Linked DNA regions of Alligator mississippiensis. The protein of the gene in region 3 purifies or fractionates together with the protein of the main gene of each other region. This does not show direct contact. Links are inferred from orthologs where the notes say so. Each region holds a gene or a part of one and is shown on either strand. Other genes may lie near its edges.

Evidence for each region.
Region 1: the proteins of PTPDC1 (region 3) and PPP2R2D purify together in Homo sapiens (affinity purification with mass spectrometry; 5 studies listed by BioGRID and IntAct, counting the BioPlex papers as one, with this or other methods). This does not show direct contact. The link is inferred for Alligator mississippiensis from reciprocal best matches to the Homo sapiens genes PTPDC1 and PPP2R2D.
Region 2: the proteins of PTPDC1 (region 3) and MAPK1 purify together in Homo sapiens (affinity purification with mass spectrometry; 3 studies listed by BioGRID and IntAct, with this or other methods). This does not show direct contact. The link is inferred for Alligator mississippiensis from reciprocal best matches to the Homo sapiens genes PTPDC1 and MAPK1.

Annotation. Positions count from the first base shown.
Region 1 is NC_081829.1:75,732,387-75,736,135, forward strand, and holds the start of PPP2R2D (serine/threonine-protein phosphatase 2A 55 kDa regulatory subunit B delta isoform), read right to left. Parts: upstream 2,229-3,749; 5' UTR 2,214-2,228; coding exon 2,165-2,213; intron 2,128-2,164; exon of another isoform or gene 1,551-2,127; coding exon of another isoform or gene 1,544-1,550; intron 1,426-1,543; coding exon 1,342-1,425; intron 1-1,341. UniProt on the Homo sapiens protein: Substrate-recognition subunit of protein phosphatase 2A (PP2A) that plays a key role in cell cycle by controlling mitosis entry and exit. Involved in chromosome clustering during late mitosis by mediating dephosphorylation of MKI67.
Region 2 is NC_081833.1:15,153,781-15,157,529, reverse strand, and holds the start of MAPK1 (mitogen-activated protein kinase 1), read left to right. Parts: upstream 1-1,111; 5' UTR 1,112-1,279; coding exon 1,280-1,422; intron 1,423-3,749. UniProt on the Homo sapiens protein: Serine/threonine kinase which acts as an essential component of the MAP kinase signal transduction pathway. MAPK1/ERK2 and MAPK3/ERK1 are the 2 MAPKs which play an important role in the MAPK/ERK cascade.
Region 3 is NC_081835.1:27,446,386-27,450,134, forward strand, and holds the start of PTPDC1 (protein tyrosine phosphatase domain-containing protein 1), read left to right. Parts: upstream 1-949; 5' UTR 950-1,052; coding exon 1,053-1,266; intron 1,267-1,959; coding exon 1,960-2,131; intron 2,132-2,667; coding exon 2,668-2,748; intron 2,749-2,969; coding exon 2,970-3,088; intron 3,089-3,749. UniProt on the Homo sapiens protein: May play roles in cilia formation and/or maintenance.

The DNA.
Region 1 (3,749 bases), on a different chromosome or scaffold from region 3:
AGTGAGCCAAAGATCCCTGTCAGATTCCATACAGCTTACAACCCTAAAGTGAATCAGGCCACACACCCTAAATATGCAATTTTTACTTAGGACAGAAACCCCCATTGATTGAATAGGTACTTAATATCAATTCCACAGTCAAAGAACATGCAGTCATAACATAATGCTGAGAATGAATATTATTTTTAGAGCTATACAATTCTCCATCACTAATGACTACATCAATGAATGGAGCTTTCTAAACACCACTCTTGGATGTTTGTTGGGTCTTTGCTAACATAAGTTCTTCCACATGGAATGGCATTATAAACAGAAGTAAGACATACTGGTAGCTCAGAAAGTAAATAAACAGTGACTTGAGAATAATATAAGTGTGCAAAATATCTTGCCATGACTGCTTTGCAAGATATGTGAAGAAGGCTCTTTAAGCTTTTAGAAAGAAAAGAGATGTTAGGAAATGAGGACCACTGCAAGCATGAAAACCTTAGTAGCATATATAATTTAAACAGGAATTCCAGAAAGTTTAGATATTTAGGAAAAAGTAGAGAACTAATCACTCAAGATGACAATCACCAAATGAAAAATCAGTAGCAATCTCCACATCTCCTCCCATGCCAATCATTTTTGACTGTGCTTTCTTCCCCAAATGAACCCCCCCCACCAAATCTCTCAAAGTAACCTGCAATGTTTAATTCATGCGTCATGGACAACGATAAGAACAAAACCTTTCCTAAAGACAAGCAAGAGATACTGAAGATGTATTTGCAGGTTATGGAAACACTGCTTTCGCTTAATACAGTAAAAATGTGAATCAATGCGATGAGAGGTCGTGAGCTCCGTGCAGCTTCACCACCGCAAACCCAAACCAGCCTAGCACCAAGGTGGGAGGCTTAGAAAGAAACTGAAATGGCAACTCTCACTAGTACAGCAAGATCACCTGCCTCAACACTGCCTGTTTTTTAAACACCTGATGTCCTCGCTCTTGTCAAGAGCCAAGGCAGACTCCTGTTCCCCAACTGCACTCCCAAGAGGGGCCTATCCTCTGCGACCTGCGGCTTGCAAAGGAGAAAGCAGCAAATCCTCCATTGCCACAAGGCGACTCCCAGCTGTGCTTGCAGACGGAGCCTCTCCCGAGGACGCATCAGAGCGGAGCCTGGCAGAGGTGGCAGCCTCCATGCGTGCCCCCGCCCCGGTCAGCCCCGCTCTCCCGGGCGATCCCGGAGGCAGCGGAGGAGGAAGCCGCCTCCGGCCCCCGGCGCCAGCCTGCCAGGAGCGCGGCTCCGCACGGCGCAGACACGAGCTTAGTCATTGCTCCGCCAGGAGCGGGCGCCCGGCTCTTACCTTCCGCCACGTCTTCGTCGATGGCCCCCTTCACCTGGGAGAAGCACCACTGGAAGTCGTTGCCGCCGCCGCCTCCTGCCACCCCTGCGGGGAGAGGAGAGGAGAGGAGGGCGCTGAAGGGGGAGTGCCCGGCCCGGCCCCGCCACCCCCGGCCCCTGCCCTAGGCCCGGGCCCCGGAGGCCGCGGCGTGCGCGCCCCTCACCTGCCATGTCGCGCGGTGCCCGTGGGGCGGGGGCAGGGGGCTGCGGGGCCCGCGAGGGGGAGGCGCCGGCCGGGGCCGGGTCAGAACCGCCGCCGCCGCACTCCGCTGCAGCCGCCAGAGGTTTCGGGGTTTCAAAATGGCGCCCATTGCCGGTCGGCCTGATCCGGTGACGTCATCCCGCGGCCTCCCCCGGGGAGGGCGGCGGAGCCGGGCAGGGCAGGGCAGGGCAGGGCCGGGCCGCCGCGGGGCTGGGCGGCGGGGGAGCAGCGGGCCCGGCCGCGCTGCGCGGAGGGGCCTCGCTCGAGGGCGGCGGAGCGCGGCCGGGTGGACGGGACGAGGGCGGCACCGCCAGGCCCGGGCCTCCGTCAGCGCGGGACGCGTCCCCTCACAGACCCGGCCCGGCCCGGCCCAGCCCCGCTGCGATGGCAGCACCCGGCGGAGGAGGAGACGGGACCCGCGTGGGCTCACTCCCGGCTCCCCCGGAGCAGGGCGGCCACCTCGCTGCGGGGCCGGACCCTGAAACCTGCGCGGGGAGCGCTCCCGTAAGGCGGCTCTGCGACGGGGACAGGCGCTGTCTGGGCTCTCGAGCACTGCAGCCCGTGTGGCCTTCAGGAAAAACACCTGCTTCCTCAACGTGCTTGCTCTGCGGGCATCGCCCTCGCGCAGACATGAAGTATTTGGACAGGGAGTTGAAGCCGGGTTGGCTGCTGTGCGGGCGGGGCTTTGAGGGTGCTGGGTTACGGCTACGTGATGGTTGTGGTAGACTAAAGGGCATTGGCGAGGCATAGGGGGTGCACGGGATTGCACGCGGGTGCACCCCTGCGAAAAGGCGCTGCCCACACCGCTGCCACCGTCCTGCTTCTCTCCAATTTTATGACTTAACCCAGGGGTGTTCAACCTTTTTAAATCTGAGTAACCCGGGGGCCAGACGCTGAGCGCGAGGGGCACGGTTGAACTTGGAGCAGGAGGCAGGGACGGTGCTTGGGGGGGGAGGGGGGATGAAGTGTTGCCGCCTCCCAGGAGCAGGACTGGGGCTGGGGTGAGGGCAGCAGCACCCCTCTATCCCTAAAATATATATCCTTAAACATATCCCTCACCTCTGTGGGGTGGGGAAGCTCACTGGGCTGGTGTTGTGGCCGCGTGCGAGCTTCCCCACTCTGCAGAGGGGTGCCACCAGCCTCACCCGCCCCAGCCCTGCAGCCCTCTGTCCCTGCCTGCCTGCATGTACCCCCTAGGACCAGTCCAGATACCCCCAGGGGTACACATACCCCTGGTTGACAACCCCTGATTTAACCTGGCTGACAGCCCACTGGTGTTGAGTAGAAAGCAGAGCAGATTTGTACCTTATAAGACTAACCAGAGTGTAATAGCGAGATAGTACAAGCTTTTGTGGGCTGAAGCTCACAAAATAAAATGCATGAGCTCTTACCATCTACTGAGCTGCAATGAGTCAGTCATCCCTTGATTGGAAGCAAAACCAGGATCTGTAACATGCCTTTACAAGTAAGTTATGGTAGGATATTGCCTCAACACATGCTCTATTAGCTAGCCAAACGGTGGAAATCATTTGAGTTCCCTACATTGTCTCTCTCGTGCTTTCATTCTGTTACACCTGTACTCTTCACTGGCTCTGCTCTCTCAATCTCTAAACATAAAAAGCAACTGCAAGGAAGTAGCAACAAGACATGCATATATAAAAACATTTCTTTTGTAATTCTAGTTCTCTGAGTGTTGTTTTTTTTTTTTTGTCTTGCATTCCAACCTCACCCACAAGCACCTTTATTGTACATTGCTATGCTTGTATATCAGGAATATATCTTATATATCTGGTTAGGTGACCTTGTATAGAACTAGTGGTCTGATCATGCAAATGCACGCCTGTTTACATTTACTAGTATGTGAAGTCCAGTTGCAATTAAGGGGATAGCTGACACTTTTATATTTTCATGATTGGCTCCAAATTGAAGTCCACATAATCTTCCCTACTGGATCCTTATGCAAAATTGAGATCTTACACTTGAGATCTAGAGGTGCAAACTTCTTGAGATGGGGCTGTAGATCTGAAAAGCACCATATATCCCTAAAATTCTGTAAATACAGCAACACTGTTGTGAGCAATCTGTTCCCTCTGATTTTCATCAGCAGTGATGACCAAATCCTGGGCCAGCTAAAGGATTGTAAGTAGGGCTGTGCAAAACTTTGGTAG
Region 2 (3,749 bases), on a different chromosome or scaffold from region 3:
AATGCTCAGAGAAGTGCAGCAAAAACTGAGAGAACTCTAAGGCCATTGTACACAGCCCCTGCAAACTTCCACATCAAATCAGGGCCATTTTCTTTACAGGCAAAACAGTAAGATAGACATTATTGCAACCAATGATCACAGGATGGTACAAATTATAATAAATGTGATGTTCACATACTTCTTGTTCTGAAGACAAGCTTATATTTAAATAATGTGAAAAACGAGTAATAGAAAATATAATTGCATACAAAGACAATGCTAATTAAAGGTTGCAAATCAAGTGCTGTGAAGTTCGGGAGATGCCAGAAGCAGAGTTGCTATGCAACTATAATTCAGCTCCTTTCCATTAGCATTGGGCCCACGAGGATCTGGGAGATCCTCTAATCTGATCTGCACTCACAGATGCAGGATTTTTCTGTTCTCAGAACCTTGCCCTGGATTATACCGGGAGTTTGCAGAAGGGTCAGGAGCACGACCCAGGTCTCTGGGTCCCAGGCGGGCGCATTAACACAGGAGAGCATCCTCTCTCCTCCTGCCGCGTTCGTTCTGGGCCTCAGCAGGCAGTGCATGAGCCTGCAGTCCAGGGGTGGGCAAGTACTGGGGCCCGAGGGCCACTTCGGGAGTTAGGTGAGCTGTCCCGGGCTGAGTCAGCACCGCGCCCCACCCCACAGTCTGCCCCCGATCGTGGCCCCGCCCCGCACTGCCACCATCCCGTGAGCCCGGCCCCAGCCGCGCACCCCGCCCGCAAGAGCAGGAGCAGAAGCAGGGCGGACAGACCAGGGTGCCCAGGCACCGGCTAGAAGGAGCTGCCACACCTCGGGCCCCTAGGAAGCGAGTCTGGAAACGCGCTGCCCTGCAGGATCACACCACAGCCCAGGGCACCCCCGCACACCGCACACCACCCCCCGGCGGGGGGCCATGCCGTGTTGTGCCCGCCTGGGCAGGGGGAGGTGAAGGCGAAGGCGGAGCGTGCTGGGCAGGCGAGACCACGCCCCACCCCGGCCACGTGACCCCGCCCGTCACGTGACCCACCCGCCGCTGCGGCTGTGAAGTTACCGCAGTGTCCTCGGCCCCGCCCCCTCCGCGCGCGCCCCGGCCCCGCCCCCCGCCCCGCCCCGCCCGTGCGCGCGCCTTCGGCTTCTCCTCACAGCGGCGGCGGCGGCGAACGGGGTCGGGTCGGGCCAGGTCCGGTCTTTCGGAGCGCACGAGCCGCCCGGGCAGTGCCGGTTACCGCGGCAGCAGCGTTTTGGTCGCCGCAGCGGCTGCCGGCGCGGACAACATGGCGGCGGTGTCGGGGGCCGCGGCTGCGGGCGGCGCCGCCAATGCGGGCGGCCCCGAGATGGTGCGCGGGCAGGCCTTCGACGTGGGGCCGCGCTACACCAACCTCTCCTACATCGGCGAGGGCGCCTACGGCATGGTCTGGTGCGTGTCCCCGCCCCGCCCCGCCGGCCTGGCCCAGCCCGGCCCGGCCGCGTCTCCCCTCAGGACGGGGCGCGCCCAAACCTGCTCCGCGCTCCCCTCCCCGGGCGCAGGTGCGAGGTCCCCGCGGCTCCGCCGGGCTGGGGCTCGGCCCTGGCAGCCGCGGGAGTAACCTAGGGCCTGCGGAGCCCGGGCCGCGCCCCAAGCCAGGCGGCCTCGTCTCCGCGGGGGGCTCCACGGTCCGCTCCTCGGGCCTCTGCCCGTTGCAGGGCCGAGTCCGCCGGGCAGAGCAGGCCTTGGCCGGGGTTACTTGCTCCCGCGAGGCTGCCCCGGCTCGGGGCTCTGTGGGCAGCCTGGGTTGGTGCTTTCCTGCTGCCCTAGTGCGGATGTCCCCGGTGCAGGTCGGCCCGAAGCCCCCGAGAAGGCACGTTCATGCATTCGTGTTTGACACCAAGGCCGGGATGGTACTTCTGTGCATCCTCCCGCTTATTTTGGAAGAAGGGTGGGGGGTTGTCACAGGAACCATTTAACTTCACGGTGACAGGATATGTTTGGGTACTGAAAGGCTGCAAGAAGTGTCAGGAAGGATGCAGCCCTCTGGCAGTTGCATCCTTTTTTTTTTTTTTTTTGATAAGGCAAATGAGCAACCTTTGGTTAATGGGCAGAAGTAGGGAAAATGCCCCTGCCTTTCCTGTCTCTGCTGTGTTAAGGTGTCGCACATTTTTCCAAATGTTCAACTCTTCCATCAGTCCTAGGAATCTGAGGTTATACCTTTAATTAAAAAATAAATAAAAATGTGCAGCTTGTTGGTATTTTCTGTAAGTGGATGTTGGATTGTCTCTGTTAAGAATACTAATTCTAGCGGGTCTAGGGGGGGTGTCAGGTAGTATGAGGTGGTATGAGTGCAGGGTGTATCCTCCTTCTGGGCTTCGTAATTTAAAGCAGTTGCTCTAGGAAGCATTGTGGCTTTTATTTAATTGCTATTCTTTGGTACAGTCTCAAGTGTGAGAGGACATGGAACAAAGTCTGTCAGTTTATGTTGTGTACTTGAGTAAGAAAGCGTTGGATTGCACATGTCCTAGTGAGGTGCCATAGCAACTGCAGTATTTTGGTAGCGCATAAGACACAAGCTACTATGATTTAAATAAGATTACTTTCCAGTTACAGGAGTTACTGGTTGTACAGATTAATGCTAGATGTGTCATGGTTTGCTTTGCTGGCAAAGTTGCATGTGCAGTTCTCACAGTTCAAATCTGTAGAGGCCTTTTCAGTTTAAGGAGGCGGGGTGGGGGGGGGTTCTATTGCATTGCAAGTAGATTTATCTAACTTTTAATGAAGAGTTGTGGCTTTTCCAGTCAAGGAAGTCCAACTTAATATATTAAATCTGGCAATTGCAGTTATTTGTGTATTGTACTGTGTGGTTTCTTAGTGTGGAAATGTCAAGTGATTTTGACTCTTACAACTCTCCAGGGTATAAAGGAAAATATAGACCAAATAAGCCATTTGCTTGAATGTGTTCCCATTCAAGTTGTCTCTAATATGGAAACCCTTAGGCAGTCAAATGCCTGCCTTTATCTCAGTTGTCCATAGTTGGTCCAGGTTTTGAGTAGAAGCAGAAATTGAGTAAAAATACAATTATTACAGCACTACATGGCATAGTGTTCTCAGGGTGTCCTTTTTCAATATTAGAGCAAATAACGACTTTGTGCCTTGACTCTAGAGACCAGATTCTGTCTTGTGTTGAATTCCCATTGAAATATTGTGCTGAGAGATTAGGATATGTCCTTGTTCCTAGGACAAAACTCTAGGCTCTGCCTCTCCTGATGGTCTGTCGACGGGGGTTAGCCACTTCATAATTACTTTTTCTTTTCTCACTGTTTGTTTTTGTTCCTTTTACATAATAAAGACAATTATGAAAGAGAAAACATGGTGCAAACAACCGAAATGCGAGAGTTAACTAAAACCCTAATTAATTTCCAGGATTGAATCTCAAGCAATTTTGAATTATGTCCCAACAAATAAGAATATATATAAATACTGCATTCAGTCTAACGTACATAGTTGTTTTATCTAGTTTTTTTCATCTTTCCAGATATGCTCTCCATCTTAACTTTTTTTTTTTGGCTGGGTTAGTCATTTAACTGAATGTTTAAAATAATATTCATTTTTTGGAAAGGGATAGTTAATATCAGTGTTATGGGTTTTTTACTCTGCTTTTTAACCCATTGTTCCCCATCAGAATTTCTGCACGTGGAGTATTAAAGCAACAACAGATATAATACATATTTAAAAAAAAAAACCATAAGTGAATGCAACTGGACTAAATGATC
Region 3 (3,749 bases):
ATATGCCCTGAGGGCAATACATGACCCTAATAAAGGATAACAGGAATAACTCTATGCATTAGGCAGTGCTATACTGATTTTCTTCACTTGCCTGTTAGTATCTATAACATGCACTTTAATATACAGCTGATGAGATGATGATATTGCTTAAATATTTTTATAGTCGTTGCCCCAGGCAGGGGCAAAACCCATAACGGTTCCTGTGCTTTTGATAAAATTGCTTTTTTTTGGCTAAGTTAATTACCCTCTTAGCATGGAAGCAAGTGAGGAAGCAACTTATAGCCCAATGCATAGCCCTCAAAGCTAGAGCTTCAAAATGAGATGGCAGCTCCACCCAATATTTTGCCTTACCTCAGCCCAGTACAGCTAAAAGCTTTGGTTAATCAAAAGCTTTGCTCTGAAAAAATAAACCTCTTGTTTTCAATAACAAATTGTGTTTTGTTAGTGGATATGAAAGGTCCAGAGTGAGCAGTCTACAATTCATCATGTACTGAACCATTTCAATAGGAACACACTAATCTCAATCATTACTAAACTAATGATGCATTTTGGAGCTGCTGCGTGGAGGGAAAGCGGAGGTAGTGGAATGTCAAACTGAGAAGTGGGGGAGTACAGTGTATTTACTTACAGATTTCTAGGAGAGCAGGGCCCCAGACTGCACTTTGATTGCTTTACTTCTATGTCATATGCTATGTACTAATATATTTTAAAGATGCAGCATTTACTATGCACTCAAATTCTTTGTTTATTTATGCAAAATATTTTGGTCATTTCCATCAATTTCCAAAATTATCTACTTGAAATGCAACTATTTTCATCAGCTGTGGACAGTTTGTCCCAAACAGAATCAATTCATATAGAATTTAGCTGCCACAGGGGTAGCTGGCATCAGTGGCTTCATTGTTTGTTACTATGGAAACTGCTCAGCCTATCCTGAATAGCTGTTAGATCATACAGAAAGATGCACATCTCTGTGTAACTTCAGCGCTGAGTAAGTTGGATTTCAGATCCATTCAGTCTTCTACAGCATATGTGAACTATTGCAATCAGCCATGCAGGGCTCTCCCAGGCAGCGCTCAGCTGTTAGTATTTTTAGCAACTTCTTTCAGGGTCGGAGGCATTCTTGCTCCGATCCCCTTCTCCGTATAATCCAAAGGCGCCGGAGCTCGGTTGTGGAGGTACTGTCATCATCAACACACAGGGTTATGGTGGCTATCTCATCCCTAAACCCTGAAGAGCTGGATGCAACTTTTCCTGAGAAAAAGAGTAAAGTATTTTTAACTTAGTTTTGTTTAATACAAAACATGGTTGCATTTTATAATAGGCTAATATATATATATATATATATATATATATATATATATATATATATATATAATGTTGTTTTGATACACAGGGCATATGGGGGGGGGTCTGTGAATACATGCATGCAGGCGCGCGCACGCACACACACACACACACACTTTACTAGTTTTTATAATGGTTAATGTTTTATTATATCTAAACTACCTTAATTGGTATTTTATTCAGGAACGAAATCTGTTTTATTTTTTATTTGTACAGCATTTCAGTTTAACACCTTTGTTACAGAAAACAAATAAATAAGACAGTGCTATGAGATTTGTGAAGACATAATAAGCACTTCTATATTTAGGTAAAAGATGACCATGATATTTGTGGTGTTGTGATGAATGCCACATGCCTATAATTTCCTCAAGAAAGAAGACACGTTGATGTAATTTTTTTCTTACATCAACAACAAGAGAAGGAAAGAGCATTCATTTCACTGCGTATCTTTGCTGGTTTTTTATGTCTATATTGAAAAAAAGATCTTCAGTATTCAGTCCATATGTTTGTGCATTTTGCAATTTAATCAAGTTGTTGGTCTGATTCAAGTTTTGGATAGTGACTATCATTTGTTAACCTTCTTATTTACTCTGTTTTTTGTATGTGTTGTAGAAAGTGCAATGCGCCCAACTGCAAAATATACTAAAGTAGGGGAGCGCCTTCGCCATGTAATTCCTGGTCATATGCAGTGTTCAATGGCATGTGGTGGACGTGCTTGTAAATACGAAAATCCAGCTCGATGGAGTGACCAAGAGCAAGCCATTAAAGGGCTTTACTCTTCTTGGTAATATGCAATGATAAGTTCTATTTAAATTATCTATAGTAAATAAAACATAATGAAATAACAGTAACACAGACCTGTATTCTATTTTCTACTAAGTATATATACTGCCATGATAAATACTCCATGTACTGCAATAAAATGTCAGTTAATGTTTGGTTGCCCATAAAGGCTCACATAAAGGGATTCCTCCCATTAAGTTCAAAGAGTTTGGCCTCAGATCAAAAATAAAATACCTATTTATAGATTATGTAAATATTCTAGATCATAGATGTTCCTTCCTGAAATGTCAATACAGCTATATTTAAAATGAGTTCATAATAGATTATTTAATCTTCCATAATATTTTTTATTTTAATAATGAAAAAGCAATTTTCCATTCTGTGTTTTTATTATTCTAATTTGATGGGATTTTTTAGAGAAAGGTATAAAAGCACATTGCTAGTTAGAGATAGTTTCTTGAAAAGGAAAGTGTCTGTATTTTGGTAGAATATTACCCATGAGATCATTTTTCCTAAGTTCTGAATGTCTTTTCTCAGGATAACAGATAACATATTGGCAATGGCTCGTCCCTCAACAGAAATCATTGAAAAATATAGTATCATTGAGCAATTTGAAAGGTAATGATCTTTACTGGTAATGAATTTCTATAAATAGCACTGATGTATCCCTGATCCATTTTTCCCTCCTACTTAGATCTGGATTGTTGGTAAAGATCCTTTCATTTTAGATACACAGGTAAGGATTTATTCTGCAGAAAGAATAAATATGTTTCAGAAAATAAGGGATAATTACATTTTAGGTGCATATAATAATGTGACTCATTTGTTCCTTCCTTAAGATGTGGCATAAAAACAGTAATTAACCTTCAGCGTCCTGGGGAGCATGCTAGCTGCGGGAATCCACTGGAGCAAGAGAGTGGCTTCACCTACCTTCCTGAAGCTTTCATGGAAGCTGGAAGTAAGTTCACTCCTGCTGCTGTTCCTCATTAATTATTGAGGACAATACTTGCAGATATTCTGACTCTGAGCTCTCTCAGTCAAGAGAAGTTACATGAGGAGGACTACACAAAAGCAGATCTATTAGAAAATGAAACTTAGTAAGCAGAGTCTTGGATTGGTCCCTCTCTGACATGTTGTTGGGTATAAACTAGAGAAGCCATGTTGCTTCAACTGCCCGGTAAAAAAGCTAAATAGAAAGTGAGAGTAAAGACATACATAGAATATAACTACATTTCAGACACTTAAATGACTCATATTTTGCAATTAGAATTCAATACACTGATTTCTTTGTATTGGCAGTATGTCTTCTTTTTCCCTCTCACATTACACTGAGTTGGGAAGTGTTATCTGCTTAGGAAACAGCCATTAAGTTAAGATATGCTATTATGTCCAAAATAGAATGTTACACTATTCCTATATATAGCTCAGTAATTTTAGTATGAATCATTCAGTTTTGTGATACCTGTTACATTCCAGCTGAGCTAAAGTCTGAAACAACTAACTCCAGGGGCATTCAAAACTTTCCTAGTGAGCTTATTCTGAAGTGTAACTAATCCATTTCAAACAAATTATACACATATACTGGGATATTTCTATACTTTGTCAGGATTGTTGTTTAT